Linked DNA regions of Struthio camelus. The main gene of each other region encodes a partner of the protein of the gene in region 2 in a complex. Links are inferred from orthologs where the notes say so. Each region holds a gene or a part of one and is shown on either strand. Other genes may lie near its edges.

Region 1 (6,971 bases), on a different chromosome or scaffold from region 2:
GTTTGTAAAAACACTTTATGTACTCAATAAAAAGGCGGGAGGAAAAGTACTTTCTTTGAGAAGTGCAATGACTCCGTATTTAAGTAACCTCCCATGATGCTGAACGCGGCTACTGCCTTTTTTTGCCAATAGTGTCTCTTTTGGTATTCACTGAGTAGAAAGTAATAGGGAAAGCTTCCCTCTGTTCCTCTTACCTGTCCCTTTAGCCTGGTCTCTGGTTTCAATTTCTTTTTGGGCACAAATCCTCGGTTGACTAAAATCGTGACGCTAGAGTTACATAAAGAGGACAAATACAGCTCATTAGAGAAAGGAAATTGTTCATTATTCCTGCCGCTGCCTAGAGCTTGGTAGCGAAAAAAAGAAGCAACCCATATGTTTGGTGCCACTTTTTTGTCATTTGAGTGCACGTTATAAGGGATTTCAGATACAACTTGGAAGCAAGCCTCTGCGACTTAACAGGTTGTGAGAGACAGAGACCTTTTAAAGGACAGTGAGTGCTTCACATAAACCCAGCCACTAAGATTCAGCTCGGATAAAGCATGACTTTAATTAACTACACATACACATGTTCTCAGGCTTGTGCATGAACACACTTACCCTAGGTCTGTGCAGTAGAAAGGAGTAACTACATTTGCTCCGTTTTCTGGGTTGGATGTCAGCCGTCCGGCTTCTCTCGCTTCTCGTTCAGGGTCCACAAGTGACCGTGGCAAAATATAGAGCTCCTTGGAGTGGTCAAAATGCCCTCGGACCTTTACAGGCCTGTACTCTAATTCTTTCAGTTCCATAGGGCTGCATGGAACAAGGTGAAAACAAAATCACGGCTGTGGTAGACAGATCAAACCAGGGAATTTTATTATGGGATTCTCCTTCTCCCCATGATTTTCTCTAGGTCCAGCTGGCAAACAGAAAGAGAAGACAAGTACCTCCTGGTATAAGCAGCTTGGCTTAAGATTTTGTTACTATCATAGTAAGTCAAATCACTAAGATCATGAGCATCTAGAGCACAGCTCTTTTCCATGATATCTGTAACTGAATACCACTTCAGTGATGCACACGATGCACACAGCGAGACAGCAGGTGACACACTGCGTGTACATCATGCCAACAGGGAGCATTTCTTTCCCATCCCAGACTGTGAAATAGAACTACTGAACTGTGTTGACAGTTGTACCATATGGCTAAAGTGACCTTAAAACTCTCTCTTGTATCTGACCCAACTGCTCTGCACTTGGGGCAGAGCTTGCTATCGTTCTAAGACTCCCTTGCTGCAGGAATACTGTACAGCAACAACCAATCTTTCTTCAGCGGTGCTCAGTAACCCCCTCCTCTGGGACATCTTGGGCAACAACTCCCAAACCCTCTTTCTCCAGGCTGAATTACATACCACAGTCTCCAGAACAGAGATTTGACCCCTTTAGATGCCTTTAGAGTATCCCACAGGGAGGTGTTTGCAATATGCATTTGAAACAAGAGAACGAACACGACTGTCTATCCTGTGAATTTGCTTGCGCATTCTGATTCCCATTGCATTTCTTCATTTGCATGCAGTTTAGTTTAACATAGACTACATGTTGTAGAGCGTAGGGACCATAACTAGTACCCCCAGCACACTGGCAGTACTTGGCAGACAGCAAACTGCAACATCTCAGCTTCCTTACTCTAATGTCAGAGGGATGGGCTCTGCTGCAATTCTTGACGCCAACTGCGCAATCAAATCCAATTTCCACTTTCGTCGCTGAACCTGGAAATACACAGAGTAATTCCCACTGGTAGAACAGAGCAGTGTAATAACCTGGCAAGGCTGAAAACAGAGTCTGCTTCTTTTATCGGTATTTTCTCTTCAGATGTGGCCTAAAGCAACATAATTGCAGATTCAAAAATGGAGGCTACTAACTTCATTTGGGGAGAGAAGAAATACTGACATAAAAGTAAAATAAATGAATCTCTCATTCAAAGACTTACATGAAACTCACAAACGGTAACTAGGAAAACTATATATGAAAAAGTATCTTCCAATCTTTACCCTGGCTGTGGTGTGAACTAGCTCACATTAAACAGCCGAGGATGGAACCACCAGACAGCCCTTAAGCTCTTCTCTCATGGAAGAACGAAATATTTATTTGTACCTGCCATGTGCCAAGGCAGAAGGTGGTCAGAGGGACAAGGAGAAGGCCCCACTTGAGTAAGACACCCTCTTCAGATGCGCCAGCGGCTGCTGTAGAGCTTCGCGGTCTGCACGGCCTCAAGCAAAGGTCTGGAGAAAACCAGAACGAGGAAGCGGCTTCGTATTGCAGAAAAGGTGCCAAAGTCCCGCAGAAAACGTCACGGCTGGAGTAAGGCAGAAACGGGGCGGACGCCTCGGCTAAACCTTTCCTTACCTTTAGTGCGCTGCAGCAGACCAGAACGCGCTTCAGTGAGAGGACATCCGAAACATGCTCGTCTGACCAAGCCACAGGACACCTACGGGAAACAAAAACGACCCTTTGCAGTGACTCCGCTCGGCGACGTTTGCCCCGAGACGGTGCCAGCTGCCTCCAGGGTGGCAGGTTTCGTTTCCTGCTGTATTTAAGCCTCCTCTGGGCAACCACCGGCCAAGCACCACAGTTTAGGCTGTAACTCCGAGGAAATGAAACTCCACCCCGCTTACGCCGCTCACTAGACCGCGACAAACGCTCTCTGCGCTACCAAACCGTGGTTTGTTTTTTTTTTTCCCAAAAGGATCGGTTTTTAACCAATCCACCTGGTGGCGTCCCGCAGGGGGACACCAGGCCCGGACCGGGGCCGCCTCCCCCGAGGGCACCGAGGGGGGCACCGAGGGGGGCGCCGGGCCGCCGCCCCCCGCCGCACCTGGGCCCGGGGCTCCCGCAGCAGCCGCCAGGTCGCCATGGCAACGCCGCCGCCGGCCCCTCGCCGCCCGCCCGCCTCCGGCCTAGACCGCCCGCCGGTCGTGCCGGGTAAGCTCCTCTCTAGCCGCCTCTCTCTATGCCACCGGCTGCTTTCCGGCGTGGCCCGGACCGGAAGTATAGGCGAGCTCCTGTCTAGCAGAGCGTCTCTATGATGCGGGCGCCGGGCGGCGAGGCCGAGGCGCGGGGCCGCGCGGAGATGCCCGGCGGCGATGGCGGCGGCGGCGGCCGCCCCTGCCCCTCCCCGGCCGCGGCCATGGCCGAGGTGCCCCAGGAGGTCCGGCTCTTCCTGCGGCAGCACCCGCTCCTCGGCCTGGCGGAGCCGGGCAAGGTGAGGCCTGCGCTGCGGGGCTGAGGGGCCGCCTCCTGCGAGGGGGCCCTGAGGGGGCAGCGGGACTGCGGCCGCCTCCGTGAGGAGCCCGGGGGGCGGAGGGGACCGGGACTGGAGCCGGCTCCCGTGAGGGGGGAGCGGGGCCGCCTGCCCTGAGAGCCACGGGGGGACCGGGGAAGGCACCCCAGCACCTGGGCTCTGGGCTCGGCCCCAGGTTGCTGCCTGGCCCGGAGGTTTTTCTCCCCGCTGTGGGACTGAGGCCATCAGGGAGGAGGGCCCTGGTACGAGCCCTCCCCTCTGCAGCCCGGCCGTCATCCCTTGTGCTTTCCTCACTTTTATCCTGCTTGTCTTCCTTCAGGTGAGATGCAGGCTGACCGGCCACGAGATGCCGTGTAGGATGTCGGAGCTGCAGGCTTATACTAATGGCAAGAAGTATCAGAGGCTGACAAAGACGGCCAGAGAGTTTGACTATGGCAAGTTTGAGCCACATATAGTGCCGAGCACAAAGAATCTGTACGTATTCTTCCTCTTGCATGTTGTGCTTCGCACCTCATTCAGCCTCACAAATAGAGTGGGTGGCTTGCGCGAAGTTCTTGAGCGTTTATGGTTTTTGATAGGTGAGGAAAGTCTTTATAAAGTATTTGTTAGCTTTGACCATAGTGCTTAGGAGTGAAAGATTATGAATTAATGGTAGACTTAAACTCTGTTGCTGGCTCTTTCTTTCTTTCTGTGTCTGTAAGACATCAGCTGTTTTGCAAGCTCACTCTCAGGCATATCAACAAGTTTCCAGAGCATGTGCTGCGTCATGTCCAAGGGAAACGCTATCAGAAGGCCCTAAAAAGATGTAAGTCACTTTTCTGAAGATACAGTCATCCAACCTTTTTTTTTCTTAAGCTTTTGTGATTCCAGTTACTCCATATGCGGTGAGCGGGTAAGTTTTCTGTAGACTGACAGAAGCACTGTTGCTGTATGTGCCGCTTAGGCGGGAAGGAAAACCCCAGGCATAGGGAGCAAAAGGCCTCTTTAGCAAACACCTTGGAATGTCTTTACTTGAAAGGAGCGGCTCTAAAGCTTCCCCAGAGAGGATGGTTCATGTGTTCAGCACGGTTTCTGTATTGACATCTGTTCTGTCTTTCATGGTCCCATAGTATCATCCTGGATTACAGGAACGCGTATCGGAGTTAGAGCTTAACGTACTTCTGAGTTGTATGTAATATAGACTGTAGCTGGAAATGAAAGGATGAGGAATCAAGTGATTGGGTATCCTTGCTCACCGCTGGTTGATATCTCACATTACTAGATGAGGAGTGCCAGAAGGAGGGAGTGGAGTATGTCCCTGCCTGCTTGCGACAGAAGAAGCAGCGGAGGCGGCATCCCGATGACCAAACGAATGGGAGCAGACAGCCTTACAGAAAAGAAGAATTCTGGGAGCCAAAGTCCAGTGATGAGGATGGAGAGGAGACAGATGATGACAGTATGAGTGATCTGTACCCACGTGAGTAAGAACACTGGTATCATCTATATCGTAAACAGAGGTTGTTAGTTATTTTTCTTCCAGCCTCTTTGTGTTGCTCCCTTCTGGGAAGCTAGGTCAGTGGGATTTCTATTACCAGTGCAAGAGTAGGACTTAGTGATAGAAAGATAGTTGAATATAGCTGGAAAGATGGAGCCATTGGGAAGGAGCTGCGAGCTTTACTTTGCTGTACTGGAAGAAAGAGCTCAGGTATGATTTATTCATGCACTGCCAGGAGGGAGAGCTTTCAATGTGCAGGCATGCTGGAGGCTTGTGACTTTTATCCAGTTCTGAGTTCCTGGGTTTGGGAAAAGCTTGCCACCACCAAATATGAAATAGCAGTTATCACTGAGTAACTAATCAGACTCGGATCACAAAATGTGAGAGGAGGGTTACAAGATCCCCTGGGATGTGCTTCTTCAGGTAACTCTACTCCTGATTTCTCCGCAAGTCTTGCAGTCTAATAGGAGTTAGTAAGCCAGTGCCAGTTCCACTGACCTGCATCTAAAATACACTGCCTTCCTGTAGGAGCATTGGGTTTTTTTTTTTTTTTGTTTTTTTAAGACCACAGAACTGTCTGTGTTGAGCAGACAGAGCACCAGGCACATTTCTAATAAACCACCATAGTGTGTTTATTCCCCAAGTATTCCAGTATGCCACATGTATGACAGAGGCTAATGCTCAGAGACTGGAATGTGGTACTTCAGCTTGGCAGGTCACCTTTAAGATGCCCACAAAGTAAAAAGTTAGGTGGTAGGTTCCTGCTGCAGAGGAAACTGCTCCTCAGCTGAGTCTCTGTGTTTTAGCTGAACTCTTCCCAGAAAAAAGCTCAGCAGCTCCACAAAATGCAGAGGGCAGCGATGACTTTGCAACAGACAATGAGGAAGACACGGCCAAGCTGACTGGGGAGAATGGTGATGTGAATGGAGAGGACGGCAGAAGAATGAATGTTAGCAGAGCAGCTGGCAACAAAAGGGGAAAGGTAAGAGTTGTATTGCCATGTGCAACAGCAGGGGAGCACGGAACAGGCTTCCTATCCCATAGGTGTTTGTCTCATCTATTACTGTGTGAGAAGAACTGGCAGAAGGTGTAAAGCTATTTGGGAGAGTAGACTTTCCCCAGGCGTCAGCCACTAACTTGCATCCTGAGGTGTGATTTACTACTGGTAAACGTTTCTCCTGTCTGCTGTGACTAAGGATGTTATTGCCCTTATAGTTATAAAAATTGTTTGCATCCTGCTGCACACTGTCTTCACATCATGTGCATCCTGTGGGTCTTGTATACTTTTCCCCTGGCCCTGCACTAGTTAAGCCCTTTTGATTGCAAGTTACAGGATTCAATTTGGTCCTTCTAGCCCTTTTTTCTCCGCCTCTTTTGAGGAACTGGTAAGCTCTTGCCTTCGGATGTGCTTACAGGAGGATGCATCCTGATCCTTCTCAGTTTGGGAAGCAACTGGATTAGATGCTACATACATAAATTATGCACAAACCTTTAACTGTAAAGGGCAGCCCTGAGGAAGGGGCTGGGATTCTTTTTTAACTGCATCAAACCAGCTGAAGTTTAGATTCATTTCTATGGGGAGGCTGTCAGCATCTGTGTCTAGTGAATCTATCGTGCCCCTGTCAGAAAAGGGGATGCTAGCTTGCATCCCTTCTGTAGGGAAACATCCTGCCTGGCCCCCTGTCCTCTGTGACCAGGACTGGGCTTGTTCTGTATCAAGTGAGACAGGAGACTACTACTAAATTCTTTAAGTCATCTCAGGCAGGGCTGGATTTACTTTTTGGAAAAAAGCTGATTCGAATATTCTCTCTTCGCAGAAACAGTCAGGTCCTTTGAAGAAGAAATTCAAGAGCTGTCATCGGAAACTCAAACATTTCAAGAAAGCAACCAACGGCAAATAAATTTTGTGAGAAATATTGTATGGCCTGAAGCCTGTTGTTGAACAGTTCTAGAGGGTGTACCAGATTGTCTGAAGTGCTCGCCCGCAGATGTTTTTGCTCTTTCCAGTTAACTGGGGGAAGGAAGTAGTATGAGGTGGAATTCATCAAGTTAATTTTAATAGCTTCTTGGGCTCTCTCCTACCACCACAGAAATGATTACTACTGCAGTTTTGTGCCTTGGGGAAAGTATAGGAAGTCAAGTTCTTGGAGGTCTTTAGGAAAAATGTTTTCCAGTGAGTGGGAGAGAAAGCACACAGGAGTACTAACCAGCAATTCCAGGTAAC
Region 2 (7,439 bases):
GCTCCAGCATATCAATGTGCTGCTCTCCCTGCTGCTACTAGGGCTGCTATCAGTGCAGCAACACCCCCTTGGCCAGGAATCCAATAAGGACACTACAGGGGCGGGCTATAGCCAGGAGCAGCCATAGCAGCAGAAAGGCTGCTATAGGCACTGAGCCTGGGAGATATCACCTCACCTAGGAAACCCGAAGAAAGCCACACCTGGCTAGCAGGCGGCATCACCTCCCTGGTGCCCGGGGCAAGGACCTGATTAACCCTCCGCAGTGGGGTTTCTCCCAGCCAGGCGTTATCCAGAGGAGCCCAGCTGTGCACTGGGCTGTGGAGGCTAGTACGTCAGCCTCCTATGCGCCCACCCGGCTGCATCTGTAGGCTTTGCTACAGGCTGAGTCCTTGCTTGGGGGAGCAGGAGTTTCAGCAGCGCCAAGCCTGGGGTAGCCTCCCCTGCGGGAAAGCAAACACGCCAATCTGTGTCTGGCTTTGCCCTGGCAGCCTACGTACAGGAAGCAGCTGTAGGGACAGCGCAGTCCAGGTTATGCAAGCTCTTACTCAAGATTACTTCTCCCCATTTCTACAGAAATTGCTTCCTGGCCCACAACACCACACTGTGCTTAAGCCCTAGCTTTTCCTTAGAGAGCCACTTTTTACCAGATCTTACTCCTAGCCTCTTCACTAGTTTCCGCACGTGCGTGTCTTATCTTCATACAGCAGTGCTTTCAGCTGGTTCATTCAGGGCTGGGAAGATAAAAGCCTGGGAGGGTGCAGCTATTTTCCCTGTAGCTTGTAGTTCCTGCAATGAACAGCGCGTGCAGCCGGGATAGTCTGAATTCCACAGACCAGTCTACACTGCGCCGATGCTGGGCATTTGCAGGCTAGTATAGCACCTCAAACTGTGTCACATTAGGACTACAGGTACAAAGGATCAAATTCTGTAAACATTCATCTCAGATGTCATGTAGAAATAACTGGAGAAATCAGCAGCAGTATTTTTTTGCACCCGAGTGTGTTCAATTCATTGTATTTCTGGTAAATTTTGGGACTTGCTATGCGTAAGTAGTAATGGCATAAATAGTAATCTGCCTTCTTCCTATAAAGCTTAAAAAAAAAATCAGCACAGCTCTAGATTCCTTAAACTCTTTATTCTGAAATTCTGTAGGAAGGGATCAAAAGGATATGTGATACATCTTTCTTTTCATCTTTTCCCATTCATTTCTTCTGATTAGTTAATTTCCTTACCAGCAAGTACTCAGGAACTCAGTCTCCTGGGTACGTTTGCTTTTCTGGAGTCATGTTTTCTGAGCCAGATACGGAGTTCTAAGTCAGGCAAAACTTCCGTGGTCCAACATGACTTAATCTGAACACAGCTTTTATACTGACACTACTACCCTGGATGTTTCAAATATGTTACAGGATGTTTCAAAATTCTCTCCTCCCCCTCTCAAACTCTTAATAGCACCATAGGCTAAAGCACAGATACACAGAACAACAGCTCTAATTACAGTAGTTGCACAACTGCAGTAACAAGGAGCTTCAGAGTATGACTAAGGAACTACATCCTAGACTAACAAGCAGGAAGCTTAAAGTGCAGCAAAGAAAGAATGAAGGCCTGTAACAGGTATGCACGGTAATAGCTAAAGCAGGACTCGCTGACCAGGAGATATAGCATTTAAAGATATATAACATGATTTCAACATGTGGGGCTGCTAGTGACTAGCACATGACTATATACTTAGCATAAAGGAATGAATCAATTAGCACATGATAGGAAATCATAACGAATGGCATAATGTCTGAAATAATGCATATGGGATGGATTAGAAGCAGCTGTAGCTCCGAGTCTTTGGATTCAGTAATAGTGCTAGCATTTGTACAGCGATATATGTTCAACAGGATCCTGGACCTGTTTGATCTCATAATTAACCTCAGAAAAAAGAAAAAAACAAAACAAAACGAAAACATAAACCCCCCTACTTTCCAGATGGATCAGCTCCCAAAACAAGGGTGGGAGTGGCAACACACAGCTAAAGCAGAGCACAGTTACCTCTTTCCAACACAAGCGCACTGCAGATTTAGGTTAGGTAAAACTGATCAGGTAACTATATTTTTTGGCACCACTACTTTCAGTCTGATCCCCAGTATACAGCTTCGAGCTCGCTCTTTGCCCTAGGTTTGTTTATTTACTCGGGTGCCTAAGTCATAAATCAAACACTTAATTGCACTGTAGACCTAGGGAAGTTCAAAGGGGTTGAGGGGCTGCTCCTTCAAAGAGGTGGAATGAGAAATGAGCGTTGGGGCAGGCATTTGTGGCCAAGGAGGGGGCAGCCGGCATGGCAGGAGAAGCTGGGATCCCCAGCGCGGCAGCAGTGGTGAGGGGGAAACACAGACCTTGGAAGCAGCAGCACACAGCTCCGTGGTATATAGATGCCTTAAAGAGTCTGTTCCTCTTTCCAGATGGAAATTAATATAGAGTATCTATAAATAATGAGTAGCTTTCAATACTAATAAAACTTCACCAAAATTTCATGGTTGCTGTATAGCTTTCATCATTGCTAAATAACAAGGACAAGGCCTGTAGGGGTGGTTAGGCTTACTTAGGCATAGCTGGGAACTATAGACAAGCTTTTGGCACAAAATCCTTCTTCAGGTGTGAAACATATAAAACAGATTTTCAAGTGAAACACAAATTGAAAACCGTTTTTCAGAGAGACTAGTTAGATGTGTAAGAGTTGGACGACCTCTGAAGGTAAACGTGGCTGGTCCCCACAGCGAAAGGATGTTAGTAGTGAGGGAGGAGGAGGGAAAGAGGTTAAAAAAACCCTATGTGACTTTGTATACAAAACAGCCTTTTAACAGGGCTTATCTGCATGAGCATCGGAGGAGTTCCCATTAGAATTAGCTGCCTCCAGTTCCTTCCAGTTGTGCTGTATTTCTCCTTGTCATTTTTTGCCATATCTTCACATCTTTTTGTCTCGTTTTACTGGTTGTCTTTTCATGTCTTGTTTCTCCCCACTCTCACCTTCCCCAGTCCCACAAGCATTACAAGTCCTAGCAAGTAGCTGATGTATTAATTAACTTCAACTATAACCTAGCAGTCTCTCACTTTTTGATTTCGCTAGGAGCAACAAAGCAATGCAAAATAACGTAATCACTCTGATGACAGGACTTCATTGGCAACCACTGGAAGCTCTACAAGGGAAAAAACAGTTATATTTGGAAGAACTCCATAAGCAGACAGTATTCCCACTAAAACACAATGGCAGAAACAGAAGTTACAATCACAAGCCAAAAGTGTAAATAAGAAGTTGGAAACTACTTGGATAAGAAAACAAACTGAGAAACGTTTGGTTCAACTTCTCTCCGCCAGGAAGCTCATACAATAAATAGCCAAGCATGTATGCTGTAGTAAGAAATAGCAGCAGAGGACACTCTCAAATTGGGACAGTCGTCATTTTAATTTCAGATGAATCAAGGGTTCTGTGAGCCTGGTACTCAGGACCTTGTAATCTGGTAACATTCACATACACTTTACTGAACGCTCAAGCCTAAACGCTGATCTCAGTTACACCGCTAGAAAGCCTACTAAATACGCTCCAAGAGTGAGTGACACCAGGTTATGCGGTACAACGATGGGGGATTATTTAGAGTGAAAAGATAAGCAGAAGAGAGCGGTAATTAAATTAAACACGCCTATCTCTTTGTGGAATCAGTTCCCAGGCAGGATCTAAAATTCAAACCCAAGTCTCTCTCGACTGCTGAAAAGATGCTTACCGAAACTGTTTATTTTACTCTAACGCGTACGGGTGGCTTTTTAAAATATTCCGTTTTGGGGCTTGCCCTGGAAAAATAATAAAGTAGCACAAAAAAAGAATGACTTCCAGAACAAGGTAGGAAGTTTGTGTTTTGGATTATTGTTTCTGAACAGGCAGGATTTTGGATACACAGCAGCCTGCACTTTGCCGCGGAAGTTGGCCGAAAGGCGCAGCTGTCTCTACACAGGCTTGCAAGACTCTCCGCTGCTAACTCTCCTTGCCAGCAAGTATTATACCCTGCTGCCCTTGAATAGCACAAGGCAACTGAGGAAAAACAAAGCAAACTTACAGTGTTTTAACCAGATAGTCACAGGCAACAGAAAAACCCTTTTCCGCAGATCACCACCCCCCCCCCCGAGAAAGCAAGGAGCCCACTCAAGCCGCAGCCCCCACTCATTTCATCACCAGGGCCAAGGCCACCCTCCTCCGGCCGCAGCGAACGGGCGAGGCACGGACCGAGGAAACCCCCAGCCCAGCCCCCGAGGAGCAGGACCCTAGGAAAAATATCCCCTTAGTTTAAACACAGAAGGAGCCAGGGCCGGCGGGGCGGTGGCCGCCGCGGCAGCCACCTTCCCGCCGGCCGGCCCTCCCCTTCCCTCCGCGCCGCCCTGCAGCGCCCCCTGGCGGCGTCGGAGCCCGCGGCAATGGCGGCTCCCACGGCCCACGCGTGAGCCCTTCTGTCGACCGCCGCGCCGTGAGTGGGGGGGGGCAGCGGGGGCCGGGGCGCGGTGAGGGCGGTTACGGCCGTTAGGGCGGGGCCCCAGCCCCCTCCCTTGGCGCGCTCGGCGCTGCACAAAATGGCGGCCGCGGGGCCAGCTCTGGAGGGGAGCTGTGGGGAGCGGGGGTGGAGGGGCAGCGAGGGGGCTGAGACGGGGGGGGGGGGGGAGTTTACATTCAAGGCGATCGCACACCTGAAAAGCAGTGTTGAATGCAAGGAACCGCGGGCGTGTTTAAAAAAGGCAATAGCGGTGCAGATGCAAGTGAGATAACCTAGGCCCGGAACAGCTGTCCAGCCAGGTGTCCCAGTTCCTGCGAAGCGCGCAGGCTTAGCCGAGTAAGAGGATGAGGCAGCGCAGTAATTACCACGCACATCATCTCACAGCGCGATTACTAGAACAGTTTTAATGGTAATTTTATATTTAAATACATCTTAACTGTTTTTAGAAACGGTGCACGAGGCAGATGCATCTCGTAGGCTTTAAGCAAAAGCCAATAAGCCGAAAACGGTTGAGTAATTATAAAGCTCTGAGGACTGGCTTCCTCTAAGGCTGGTTTCGGCTACTTACATAAATATAAGTATCATTTCCAGAGGCCGCGCTGCCCAGGGCCTGTGCTGGCGAGGATGAGCTGGAGAAGGCGCAGGATGCAGTCGCTTGGGCCCCAGTACGCAGAGGGCGACGGGGGTGCGGGGACACGTGAATTTAAAGCAAGTCAGCCGTGGTGACTCTTGTCTACCTACCGAGAAACCTCGGGCCGGATTTACTTTGTCACTCACATACAGCTTGAGAAGTGATTGATGCTCCTTAAGCATGTATTTAATATTCATTCTGATGCCACAAAGGGAAAAAATTGCTATTTCTCCCCCCCCCCCCTTTTAAAAATCCAAGCCCTCCTGTTAAGATCACTCTTGTCACTAAACCAGACTAGTTTCCCCCATCCCTTTTTACTGTACATTTTATCATTTTAAAACGTTTAATATTTTACACAGCAGCATCTCTGAGGTTTGGTGTACTTCATTCATTTCTTCCTAGTGAACCAGATGGGAGACCTGATCTGATTTGAAACTAACTCAGCAAACTCCCCCTGCCTCCCGGCCTGCCTGGTTTTAACCCAGACCAATTACTTTCTGCTGATTTACATGAACTCTTAAAGCACCATAAGCGAGTGGGTAGTGCAGAGTGGGCAGGATTGCCTGATTTTGATAAAGTATTGAACCATACACGTGAGCCTCCCCCCTCAGGCCAGCTTCACAGGTTGGAGTAATAGCAGGCTGTCACAGCAAGATGGCCCTGTTCCACTGCCCCAGCCACTGCACGGTTTGTATCAAAAACCAAGCGGATCCCTAAATCTGAAAGTTGATTTTCCGTTGTATTTGCAGCTTGCAAAACCCTGCAGCTATGCAGTCCAGCAGGAGGGAGGGAGAAGGGGCGAGAGCACCTCTTTCAGCAGAAACAGCCATGCTTAGGTGCTGCATTAAACTGACTCTTAGCCTTTTGGTTTGAGTCTATGCTTTGACTCACAAATTTGAGTGGTAAACCAAGATTTCATTTCATGCAGTAGCCCATGTTGAAGTTTTTCATACTTGAATGGAGGTTCACGTAGAAAAGACAGATGTGTGCATGTTGATGCAGAGATGACAAAATACTGCATTTTTGGCAGCCTGCTGCATCAAGATTTTTTTTTCTTAGTTAACACTTGAAAAGAATTGCTGGTCCTCAACTTCTTAACTTTTCTTTGCATTTTATGTTATATGTTCACTGGCTGATTTTGGATATTTCAACATCTTAACAATTGACACTTTGCTAGTTTAAGATAACATAATAATTTATTACATTTATTTCCCCTAAGACAGAAGGGATTCTCACCAAGAGGGGAATGAAAAGGTTAGTCAAATGTAATAAAGTGATTTTTTATTGTTAGATGAGCTTTAATTTGGATTCCTGTAAATTGAATGAAAAAAAAACATGGAGAATGGAGATAAGGCGCTTTTGTGATTAGAAGAAAAATAAAACCGAAACCCTTCATTACTATCTTGCAGCTTTTTCTAAGTAGCACTTTGCTGTTGCAGTTCTGGAATTAATGAAGTGTGCATGGATTATTGCAGTACATATTTCACTTCAAAGCTGGTTATTGCCTAGAAGTTGGAGGCTCTGCATGGCTGTTGAAACATACTTATCTTGGCCACTTTTCTAATACAAGTTTTGGGGTTTTGCCTCAATGCCGGAGTAGCAAAAAGAGTAAAATAAATCCTTACATTTGCAGATCTGACCCCAGCATAACAGGAGGAAGAACTGATGCTGGGGGTTTTCACTAGACTTAGCATATTATAGCTGAGTATTGTCACCCACCCAAAGGGACAGGCATACGCATGTCTTCTCCAATAACATGGCACTTGACCTTTAGTTTATACCTGCCACAGGCTACTCAACACAGATGAATGTGACTTACCTACTAAACGCCAGAGCTGCATTCAAGCATTGCTATTTCACAACAGTTTCTCTTATTTGACCCAGAATAACTTACCTAAGGAAGTCTGCAGGACAGACTTTAGAGCGGCTCTGAGGATTATGTGATGGCAAACCTAGTTGTGGTTGTTCTGAGAATTATAACTGATCTCGAGATACAGATTTAAAGGCCACGTCAGTTCTAGCGTAGTTCTGTGCAGAGAGACCTCACCACAGGTCTGACTGTTGACTGTACTGAAGAAGCCACAGAAGCCAAAGTCAGCAGCAGATGTGCATGAACACTTGATCTTGAAATGTTTGCCTATTCAATGGAAAAGAAAAAACCTAGTTAGATTTTTCTTTTTGTCCATAGAGCTGTCCACGACTAGGTTGAGAACTTAGAGTATGATTTTGCATAGCTGAGGAGGTTGCAGAAAAAGGCCGTATTGTTTCTCGGTTTTTCTAAGTAA

Evidence for each region.
Region 1: COA1 (region 2) and SURF1 share a complex: the UniProt entries of both Homo sapiens proteins name them as parts of the MITRAC (mitochondrial translation regulation assembly intermediate of cytochrome c oxidase complex) complex. The link is inferred for Struthio camelus from reciprocal best matches to the Homo sapiens genes COA1 and SURF1.

Annotation. Positions count from the first base shown.
Region 1 is NC_090961.1:5,150,218-5,157,188, reverse strand, and holds the start of SURF1 (surfeit locus protein 1), read right to left. Parts: upstream 3,012-6,971; 5' UTR 2,887-3,011; coding exon 2,848-2,886; intron 2,461-2,847; coding exon 2,379-2,460; intron 2,255-2,378; coding exon 2,127-2,254; intron 1,742-2,126; coding exon 1,659-1,741; intron 790-1,658; coding exon 598-789; intron 268-597; coding exon 195-267; intron 1-194. Other genes in the region: SURF2 (surfeit locus protein 2), read left to right, coding at 3,055-3,234, 3,593-3,747, 3,975-4,078, 4,535-4,729, 5,554-5,729, 6,565-6,648. UniProt on the Homo sapiens protein: Component of the MITRAC (mitochondrial translation regulation assembly intermediate of cytochrome c oxidase complex) complex, that regulates cytochrome c oxidase assembly.
Region 2 is NC_090943.1:60,050,067-60,057,505, reverse strand, and holds the start of COA1 (cytochrome c oxidase assembly factor 1 homolog), read left to right. Parts: upstream 1-4,428; 5' UTR 4,429-4,499; intron 4,500-5,091; exon of another isoform or gene 5,092-5,283; intron 5,284-7,048; exon of another isoform or gene 7,049-7,291; intron 7,292-7,439. UniProt on the Homo sapiens protein: Component of the MITRAC (mitochondrial translation regulation assembly intermediate of cytochrome c oxidase complex) complex, that regulates cytochrome c oxidase assembly.